Linked DNA regions of Drosophila melanogaster. The protein of the gene in region 1 interacts with the protein of each later gene in a pairwise test. Each region holds a gene or a part of one and is shown on either strand. Other genes may lie near its edges.

Region 1 (3,757 bases):
AAATATCTTCCCATTTATCACTATTTCAGTACACCCACAGACCCCCGATCTATTGATCTGCTTCCGTTGCGGATACAACACAAAATCAAAAGCCCGTAAATCGTGGGTGTATCTTTATCTCGTTCTTTTAAAGGGATATCCCACTTTTAATGTCAACTTAAGTCATTAAAGTCTCAACCTGCTTAAGTTGGCATTAAATAATTAATGTTTATAAAATGAAAACATTGTAGAAGCTCCAAACGTTTTTACAAAGTCTCCATTAAACTAAATTTAATGGATATCTTATACATATACCTTAAAGATAAAAAGAAACCCGATTTATAAGGTCACAGTTTGAGCAAATAGTTTGATCAACTTTTTGGGATTTGTTTTAGCAAGTGAGAGCTTTAAAATTGTACTGGATATATTTGGCTGGTTTACTCAGCATTTTGGTCACTCTAATTACGAGCTCCAAAATAAAATAAAAAACAGCACTGTCATGACTTTTTGACAACCGCTGAAAGTGTGGTGTCCACCATACATTAAAAAACAACACATTTTCCAAAGTATAACTTTAGAATTATAAAGGTTTGAAAATCATGACAAGTCAACAGGTGAGTTCAATTTTATTTTTGAAATATTAAATAAAAAATTGAGTTTTGCAGGTGGTCCTGAAGAGGGGGTGAGAGCAACATACATATTAAAGCGCCTTTTAAGGAAAAATGTATGGGTGTTTAATGGAAGTCGACTAAGACACTTCTTTGAAGTTTATTGTTTTGTTTTTTTTAATAATTTATACTAATTCTATAAATATTTAATAAAATTCTATTGAATAGCTCTTATTGACGCTTGTATGATTAATTTTAAAACTTACCAAGGACAATAAGGAGACAGTCTTTAGCAATAGTACTAAGTAATTTCATGAAATACTATTTTTAATAATAATGTTAGTTACTCTTTTAGTGCTGGCTTAATTTAATGCAATGGAAAACTTATCTGTACCACTTTTCAAAATGCGTGCAACAATAAAAAATAAACCAGCACAACAACAACAACAATAATAAAACAAAAACCGGCAGCAATCGAAATTCTTTCATTTCTTTTCCGCCTCTCTTCGCGCAGCCGCTCTCCGCACGACAGAGAGACAGAGAGAGAGAGAAAAAGAGAACAATGTTGGCTGCGCCGCTCATTCACAAAACGGAGACGTAAAGCGGTGTGCGAAGAAGAAGAACAACAACAGCCCAAGATATGATAGATATGGAACAACAACAAAAGGAACAAGAGGAACCGGGCGGAGAGAGGAGGAGGAGGAGAGCAAAAACAACTTGGCATAAATTGCTGCTGCGTAGTAATTTCACGAGTATTTTCCTAGTTACGTTCTCACTACTATTATTCATTTTATTATTATTTGTTGTTTTTGTTACATACCCCTTTGCAACGGTTTTGTTGTCGTGCATTGTTGATCTAGTTGTTGTTGTGTCACCTAATTTTTGATTTTTATTTCTATTTGTATTTTATTTTGGTATCGATTTCAAAATAGAACGACGCACTTTCCCAGACGCAGGCGTAATTAAATTTTCTTATGTTTTATTCGCGTGCTTTCTTTTTGCGCCGCAACTTCACAACATGCTGTGTATATATAAATAATAGGAGAGCGCGCGTGTGTGTGTGTATGTGTGTGTACACAAATTTTATTTATTTATTTACCGTGAATTTTACTCACACACCCGGACAAGCCGCACTCTCGCCAGCACACGAGAATCGCCCGCACTTGTATTTCGTGGAATTTCTTTAATTCGAACTCCACCGACCTCGCACTATTGCTCTGTATTTTGTATTTTCGCACTTTTCATTCACGAAATGCTGGGGCACATAATTTCGCCTTGCACAGTATTAGGTATCGGCAATTCACTGTGGCCTCTATTTGACAGCGATGATTTTCCGCACGACGAACACACTCACAATTCCAATTCACGGCGACCGCGGCAACGATCTCAACGTTTCGAAATCGCGTGAAACACTGCCAGCCGTTACCCTTGTTGTATACGCGATTTTCGGTTTAGCGCGTTTTCCAACTCTGTTCGGTCGTTTTCGAACTCTGTCTTTTGACCGCTTACAGAACTCTGTTAGTGCCGGCTGTTACACTAGCGCGCCACCTATAGCAGAGCTCTTCGTTTACCAACACGCCATGAAGCCCAATACTGAATCCTCGCGCACTAAAAACGGATATTCCATTTGTAAAAACTTTTATATGAGCATAATGTCATTAGCAAATATTACATTCTGGATCACTTTTTTTTCGAAAAATTTAGAAAATATAATAAAATAATGGCGCTATTATTGTGTCGATTTCTTAATGACATAGGAAATATTTTTATGTAATCATTGTCCAAGAGCATCTACTTTCCATGCAATCAAGCATAATCATTTCCTTGAACTCCCCGCCTAGGTGATAAATACTAACTAACTACAAATACTAGGAGCTGCTGTAAAACCAATTTAAACCAATTTTAAATATTTCGCTAGGATCTGCTTTTTGGGGTTTGGCTTTTAGAAACGCAAGTTTCAAGTTTAAAGATAGTGCGCCATACTTGAATATCGTAAATTGCAAGCAGTGCTACGTTTTACTGCTTTCCGAGTTGGCGGGCGCATTAAAATGCACTGCTTTCCCAGTTGGCGGGCGTTTTAAAACATGCAGACAAGTCTGCTAACTACTCATGGGTAAAATGATCAAAATCCAAGGAATGGATCACATATTTAAAATTCAACTTGGTGTTTAAAAAAATCTTTGAAAAGATGCATAAAACAGTACAGTCTTTATACTTTATTAAAAATAATTAATATAAAAAATAATATTTACCAAAAACATTCAAATGATGATTCAAAATTGCTTAGTTAAAAAAGAAGTTAGCAAAAAACACTTCTTGTGACCATGGCAAACTTCACCTTATTTAAATTCGGCTTGAAAAACTTAAATATTCAGTTTAATTGAAACAGTAGACATTCGGTTTTAAAAATTTATTTTGTTTATTTTAAAGTTTCCTTCGTTTTTGTAATATTTATTTTCTCTTTTTTTCATGTGTTTGTTTTTGGAAAGAAAGAAAAGTACCTAACAAGTGTGTTTTCTCTTATAAAAATTAAACGTACAATTATACAGTGGTTTCGGCTTGTTGCGGTTCTCCTTCGTTTATTTATTGATTTTTTTTTACAATTGTATGATTTGCATTTGTTTGTTGCTTTTATCTATCGTTTAGTTAAATATATAACTACTAGGAGAGAGTTTAAATAATTATTTATGTACTTGTAGTTGACTCTGTTAAGTGGTTGGTTGTTTGTTTTGTGGGATGATTTGGCTTCTATGAATAAACTGCTATTGGGCCCATGTGTGTGTTTACAGTTTAAATTTTATAACAATAACAAATTATGATACATAGTTATAGCTTTAATAATATTATAATTAAAAATCAATCGATAAATCCAAGCAAATGAAGAGAAGAGGATTCTGTTGCATGCGTCACTAAAACAGGAACCAAAGCCATCTTGTTGGGGGCCCAGGAGTGTTCTCTTCCTCTTCTACTACTGCTCCATATTAATTTGAAATGTCTTCGATATATTTTACAATTTGAAATTGATTTTCTTTTTATTGTTTAATGTTGATTGGCTTTACAACTATTTTGTTTTATAATTTAAAATTATATAAGTGTGTGTGTGTGTGTGTGTGTTGGTATTATTTTTACTAATTTACAGACAGTTCTAGCCCAAAAAGTTGTTTGATAAG
Region 2 (3,757 bases), on another chromosome or scaffold:
CTTGCAGTTTTGCTGGCAACAACTAACCGCCTGATCGTGGTCAAAAGTATTTCAATGCTCGCAACGCGATCCTCGCCATTGGGCGTCTTCTCCGGTCCAATGCACACGAATGTCAGGGATTTTGAAGTAAGGCAACAGTGGTAGGTTCCGGTGATTCCAACTTTCTCCGAAATACCCTTCTTTTGAATGACAACTTGCCAAACGTGGTCTGCAAAGTGAAATGAAGTGTTTAGGTTTCATACTAACTGGTAGTTATAGTTTATTTGGCATACCATAAGGTGAGTGCGCTGTTCCATTCGAATTGGCTATGTTCCTTTGTAGAACTAGTAGTTTGTCCAACCATTTGCGTAAATCATTTTCGTTCTCGAGAACGATGCCGAATCCACCGTCTCTGGAGGAGAGCACAATGACAAATCTATGCTTGGTGTCCAAACGGCGATTGATGTTGAAGCAATTCTTCAGATATATAACCCTTTTTGGCTCGGCTCTTTGCAGGAACTTCTTTTCGGTATCGTAGTACTCCAGCCGGGCTGCCGAAGTGCTCGTCTCCTCGTACAGCACAAAGAACTTCTTCTTCATGGTCTTCAGCTTCTTGAGGTAGCCACTCAGCGCCATGCCGTCATCCGATATTGATGCCATGATTTCCAATCTTAGTTCCTGGAAGGCGACGTGTTTATATTATTAGTAGGCGATATGGACACATATTTGATTTGCAAGGCTTTCACTTTTCTGTTTTCAAATTAAAGAACGAACACATGTATAATGTTTTTTATTTTTTGCATTGTAATTTAGAAACATATACCTAAGTTATAGGCTTTACTAATGTAGGAAACACGAGTTTTGTGCAATACATTTGCTTTTCTAAGCATAAACAGCACAAAACATTTCCAACTGCCGGAACAACAAATCGCTTTTCACAACGCAAACACGCGAAAAGCATTCGCAATGTCGGCTGGCAAAAAAAATCCTTGCCGTCTGTCAACATCGAGCATCGGAAATCGCAATCAAAACACGCAATTACGTCGTTTATGTCAATATTCGAGTGCAGCTTACGCGGCGCGACGTATTCGAATTAGGATGTAAAGCGATGGAATTCGGAATCGGAATTGGATGTGGAATTGTGAATTCATAATTGGCTCACTGTGCTGGCGCTGTAAAGATTGTTTATTTCGTTTTCAGGTTTCTGCGCATTGCATTAAGATAACCGCAGCTAGATGCTCATTTTATTATACATATATGTACGTACATATGTACATACATAAGTACGTGCGCGCGTATGTTTGTACATATTTTGTTTTATAGATGAGCATCATAAATATATATATATATTTATATGTACATATATCTGTGGAATTCTAATACATCTTACATACATATGTATCTGCGAGTTATTTTTCCCCGTAGGCATGTATGTACAAACAACGATACATATGGCACACTCTGGTGGTATCATTTACAAACGCACATGGATATGGGAAATAATACCTCAACGCCAATGTGGCTGGGAAATGTGTTACCTAAGACGTCTAGCTGCCCGTATGCCCGATATGCGCGAAATCAGTGTTTACTAGTTATCCGCGCGATACATTTAGCATTTGTATTATTATTGTTCACCAACGCAATTCTTTATTATCAAACCCACATTTATTCGCGATGACACTTTGCTGTTATCGTTATCGCAGCATAGGAATAACAGTACGAAGTTGCCATCCCGATCTCTACACCGGTGAGAGTTGCCAGCCCGATTTACACGCCGGCTTATTCGATACTAATTGAGTTATCGAATGACCGTTTGTTTCGTTTAAATTTAGTATAACAGTTTTTTATTTAATCATCATTTTAAATTTTTTGTATTTTAGAAATGTTTTTATCGGTAACTAAATTATCTACTTTCCATATTCTTGTATGAAACAAAATTTTAAAAGTATGTATCGACTTTATATACCGAAATAATTTATATGGTTAAACTTTTCCATTTAAATTTTATGAATTTATACAAAGATTAAAATGTAATTAGCTCCTGAAATCAGGACAATGAAATGATTAAACTGGTATTTTAACGATTTAACTTAAGAAAGCGGGCTCAAAAAACAAGGATGAGTAAGAAATTACAAAGTTTCGCATATTGATTTTATTTTTTAATGGTTACTATATTTTTAAATACAATTTGAATATTTTATTTGTTGTAATAATTTAACAATACACGCCGTATTGTTGGTAAGCTTTAGTTTTCTTGTGACTGACTAAGGAGGAAAAAGTCGTTCTCTACCGCGTTCTATTATTTGTATTGTGTGCTTCGTAGTCCATGACTTCCTCATAGATTAGCTCCTTCCACTGCTCCACAGTGTGTTCCCTTTCGTCCACGCTGTGATCATATGGCTCCGGAGCGGGCTGCAAGAGATGCATGCAATTAAGCGATTAAAAACATTCAACATTCCTAGAAATCCAGTTTATGCCAGAATCACTTACAGCATCCACTTCCTCAGCATCATACCACACGTTGATATATTCATGCTTCAAAGCCTCGTCCACAGATATCCGCTGCTCTGGATCAATGACTAGCATTTTACTAAGAAGATTTCTAGCGTCAGAAGCCTTCCGGCGGCTATTCTGATTATTATCATTTGGAAACAAGCCATCGGGGAAAAGTCTATCAAATGAGTATCCAGTGTATCTAGGACGATTTTCCACATAGTTTCGGACGGTTGGCTGTAACCGTTGCATAAACGAGGGTGATGGTGTACCTAATTGCTCTGAAAAAACGTAAAAGTTGACAATCATAACGAGAATCAAGTTATTTAAGCAGCAACATACCAATAATTTTATTCCACTGATCTATATGATCCGTTCCAGGAAACAGCACACCGCCCCGTATCATTTCGCCCATAATGCAACCGACGGACCATATGTCCACGTTCTCTGTGTATCCCATGCCCAAAATGACCTCTGGAGCCCTGTAATATCGGGTGACCACATAGGGAGTCATCATAAAGGTAGTTCCTGCAGTACGTGCCAGACCGAAATCCAAAATTTTTAGAGTGCAGTCGGCCTTTACAACTATATTGGATGGCTTTAAGTCCTGCAAATGAAGTATTTCATATATTTCATACTCATTTTAAAGATGTATTCATACTGTACGTACTCTGTGAATAATTCCTGCTGAGTGTAAATGTTTTATTCCGCACAACATTTGATAAAGCAAATAGGACATTCTGTCGTGATCCAAGTCCATTTGGATGACCTGGCAGAGATTAGCGTCCATCAGCTCCATGACCAGGTAGACATCCTGAAACTCTTCCAAGTTCCTTTGCGGCGTAAAAGCATTAAGTAAGCCAATTATCTACGGATTAAATACCTATGTTTAGTAGAAATTTGTTAAAGTTAAAGGTGCAAGTTTCATACGTTTTTATGGTTAACAAGCTTCATTAGCTTGAATTCCCTATATGCTCGCTTGGCATGGGTTACATTTTGGAATGGTCGAGATAGTTTCTTAATCGCCACATTTTGCTGGGTGATAGTATCGTAAGCGGCGCTGAAATGCATTAAATTTGTTATTTTTTTTTTTCATATTCCAGCTAATCCCATCTAATCTAATCTAATATACAATGGAGCGTTACAAATATGACTTCATACTCATGCGAAATATCTTAATTGTTTAAGCCAAAAAATTGTTAAATGTATTATATGTAATAACATATTGATAACCACTTACCATACTATTCCTTGGGCACCTGATCCTATGGGCCGTAGATTAATG
Region 3 (3,757 bases), on another chromosome or scaffold:
TGGTATGATTTCTTAGCTTCCCGTATGACAAACATTTATGTTTTTTTCCGGTGCACTCGTTCATTGTTTTCCTGACAGCAGTTCGTCTTTTCGCTGAGAGAAAGAAAGAGTTGCACGTGCTTGGGGGACAAGCCCACAAGTTTATGAGGCGGAAAGTTTGTTTCCCCGTGCTGTGTCTGTGTATTGGTTGAAGATCGGTTCCAGACGAGGGAGTATAGTCATTGGTCCCCAAGAAAAGCCATCACGAACGAATTGGTGGCCCCGAAACGGGAGCATTTGGGTCTATAACATTGAGTTACGACTTCGGTGGATGGATGGGGCAGCCATGGAGGAACTGAAAGTGGGGCACTCTTATCTGGATCTCGGGGCGTGGGAGGCAAAGGGCAGCCTGTTTACATAAGATCACTCATTCAGGGAGCTGGGAGTCCACTCCCGCCCGGGTTGATTAAGTAGATGCTTTTGCTGGGGAATGGGATTCGAATGGGGTTTCGGTTTCGGTTTTGTTTTTTGTATTTTGTATTTTTTTTTTGGCTTTTGTTGCCGAGGGAGTTTGCGACATTTGCCGGCCGTTTCGTTTAGAGATGCTGCGCAAAATCTCTGCGAGGTGGTGGCTTTTTGGCAGCGAGAGGGTGGACTTCTCGTCCTGCAAAGGATGGCAGGACTCGTTCCCAGTGTTGTTAAGAGTACAAGCTTTTGTACCTGGCACAGGCTTTTGAAAAACACAAGTACCTACTATAGTAGTATTTGAGCAATGAACATATTATAGATTTATGGTAAGTGAAGCATCTTCACGATTTATCTGTTTCATCTATCTAGACAAGGGAAAGGGTACATATGTACACACATATATATCGGTGGCACAGTTTGCCGTAAACACGACCATGGTTACCCAAAAAAAGGTGATGGAAAGCGGAGGGCTAAGGGTTGCAGCACCGCCCACTGGGCGGGTGGTGGACCGAGCCAAAGGACTACGCACCACCAGGTGACGAGGGCGAGATAAAGAGAGAGAGCGCAGGTCAAGAGAGAGAGAGAGAGAGCCGAGAGAGAGAGCCGTGAGAGATTCGAACAGGAGCTAAAAAGGAGCAGCCGAATATTTTGTGTGTACCTACCGGAGACGAAGCGGTTGGACTGGCAACTCCTATATTCCTCCTGGATCTCCTTATCCTGGCACTCCTTATCCGTATCCGTATCCTTATCCGGAAAGTCGGAGTCCGTATTTCTCGGTCTTAACCCTTGGCAATCCTCAGGATTTGGGAGTGGAAGACATGGGATAAGACACTGCTCCTGGAACTCCTGGAACGCACTCTATATCACTTCCACTTTCCACTGGGCTATTGCACTTTACACACACTTAAAACACAACTTTAATTATAATACACCTAGGCGTGAGTGTGTGTGTGTGAGTGGGGCGGGGGTGAGCCTGTGTGTGTGTACATATGCTGCTGCCGCGATTGAAAAACACACAAATCCTGACAAATAAACGCTTTTCCACGCTTCTGATTACCGCACACGTTAACTGCGTTAAGTGGCAAATTGTTTGCACAATTTTGCAGCGCTCTCTTGCGGTTAACTAATTAAATTTTAATGATTTTGCCGGAGCCGTTTCTTTCACGTCGCCCATCCGATTTCGATGTGCGGAAGGCGATAGCGATTGACCACGACCAGGGCTGTCAGGTGGCGTATCAGCGGTTTTTCTTAGCGAACTATCGATAAGCACGTTGCGCGCTGTGCAGCACTTGTCCGGTCATCGGGTCTATCGATATCGGGTGGCGTTTTTGTTATGATTTTGGATTACATGGTTGGTTTAACCCGAAATACCATGCTGAAAACTCGGGGTATTGTGCTTGGCATCAGCAGGTCGTACACCGCCAAGGCGAAGAGGGGTGTGCTGGCGCAGGACAAGTCGAAGATCAAGGAGTACTCACCGAAGACGACGGACAGCCATGAGCACCGAGTTTACGTGTGGGGCTTTCAGGAAACCGGCGCTCTCGGTCTCCAGACCAACGTGAAGAAGGCCAAGGAACGCTACACGGAGATGGTGCACCATCCCACCCGCTTGCAGTTCTCCAACAACAACGAAATCACGGATGTGGCCGCCGGCTACGGGTTCACGGTCTACGCCGTGAATAGAGATGACGGAGAGACGCTCTTTGGCAGCGGTTTGAACACCGACTCCCAACTGGGTTTCCAGGTGAAGGGAAATCCCAATGATCCGGCCAACCTTGACGTGATCATTTATCCTACAGCCATTAAACTGCCGAGAGTTCAGGGAGAAACAGACGAGGACATGCGTGTGAAGAGCATGTCGGCGGGTAGAGCTCACCTGGTGGTTCTGACCCAAAACGGAACCATTTTCACCCTGGGAAACAATTCGTACGGCCAATGTGGCCGCTCCATCATAGAGGAGGAGCGGTACAGCAAGAGTGCCCTGATCCACAGGATATCGCAGGAAGATATATGCGGCAAGGAGGATGAGGTGGTCCAGGTGGAGTGCGGCCAGGACCACAGCATGTTTCTTACCAAAAAGGGACGCATTTACACATGTGGCTGGGGTGCGGATGGTCAAACAGGTCAGGGAAACTACCACACCGCCGGGCAGATAACCCTGATTGGAGGAGATGTGGAAAAGGAGAAGATTGTGCGGCTCAGCTGCTCCTCGGACTGCGTTTTGGCCCTTAACGAGGCGGGCGATGCCTTTGGCTGGGGCAATTCTGAGTACGGACAGCTAGATGACTCAGAGCTGGCCGAAACCCAAATAAATATCCCTAGAGCTCTCAAACTAACGAAGTCCATCGGGAAAATCAAGGATGTGGCTGCGGGAGGCTCATTTTGCATGGCCCTCAACGACCAGGGTCTGGTGTACACCTGGGGCTTTGGCATCCTCGGCTTCGGACCCTTCGTGGAGCAAACATCCAAGCCGCAGCATCTGTTGCCGCCTTTATTCGGACGAAATGACTTCAGCAACGAAACCACAGTGGTTTCCATCGGATGCGGAGTGTTTCACATGGGCGCCGTCAACTCGGACGGAGATCTCTTCATGTGGGGCAAGAACAGGTTCGGGCATCTGGGGCTGGGACACAAGAAGGACCAGTTCTTTCCCTTTAAGGCGGCCATCAACGGAAAGGTCACCAAAGTGGCCTACGGAGTGGATCACACCATTGCCTTGTGCAAGCCGTTCTTCTAGATTAAGCTGTTTGTTTTAGATTAGTTAACTTAAAGTATACTCTAGTCGAAAATACTATTGCCAGTGGCAGCCCAACCAATAAAGATCACACTGCTAAAGATCACAAATTCGCGTTTAATACATGTAAGTAGTTTAAAGAACATTTAGATTAATTTACTTGTTTCTCTTACGCATGCTGATAGTTGCCATGTTTTCCGCCCTCAGGTTGTTTTTGCTGTAAATAGCTTCGTTCTGAATCCGTTCTATACATTAATTGTTAGAATAGAGTTTAAGAGCATATATATAAAATATGTACTTGGAATGCCGCAGTGTGTCTGTGCGCGTGTACCGATCCAATCTCTCCGTATCCTTTCAATCCGCCCTCGAGGCTAATACATTTCACGTATTTGTCACAATTTCGTCGATCGCTTTTGATTGCGTTCTAGGTACATTTTCGTTACGCTTCCTTACTAGGGTCTATAATTTGCTAAACTCGCTTGGCCAATGATGATATATCCACCCGGAGTGGGTGTGTGTCCTGCTAACCAGTGGTAACCAGATCTAGACTTGTAGGCATGGCTCTGTGTATGTATA

The links.
Region 2: the proteins of InR (region 1) and chico interact in binary tests that used the Drosophila melanogaster proteins (3 or more experiments, as listed by UniProt).
Region 3: the proteins of InR (region 1) and dock interact in a two-hybrid assay, tested with the Drosophila melanogaster proteins (2 studies listed by BioGRID).

The regions. Positions count from the first base shown.
Region 1 is NT_033777.3:21,617,320-21,621,076, forward strand, and holds the start of InR (Insulin-like receptor), read right to left. Parts: upstream 2,003-3,757; 5' UTR 1,703-2,002; exon of another isoform or gene 1,408-1,702; intron 1-1,407. UniProt on the Drosophila melanogaster protein: Has a ligand-stimulated tyrosine-protein kinase activity. Binds 3 insulin-like peptide ligands.
Region 2 is NT_033779.5:10,245,383-10,249,139, forward strand, and holds the start of chico (chico), read right to left. Parts: upstream 1,697-3,757; 5' UTR 1,518-1,696; intron 1,152-1,517; exon of another isoform or gene 803-1,151; intron 658-802; 5' UTR 640-657; coding exon 273-639; intron 209-272; coding exon 28-208; intron 1-27. Other genes in the region: bsk (basket), read right to left, coding at 2,266-2,391, 2,470-2,753, 2,815-3,079, 3,143-3,340, 3,403-3,532, 3,713-3,757. UniProt on the Drosophila melanogaster protein: Activates phosphatidylinositol 3-kinase when bound to the regulatory p85 subunit. May mediate the control of various cellular processes by insulin-like peptides.
Region 3 is NT_033779.5:823,860-827,616, reverse strand, and holds the start of dock (dreadlocks), read right to left. Parts: upstream 1,649-3,757; 5' UTR 1,110-1,648; intron 1-1,109. Other genes in the region: CG3862 (uncharacterized protein), read left to right, coding at 1,820-3,184. UniProt on the Drosophila melanogaster protein: Adapter protein that links cell surface receptor tyrosine phosphorylation to downstream signaling pathways and effectors, many of which are involved in regulation of the actin cytoskeleton.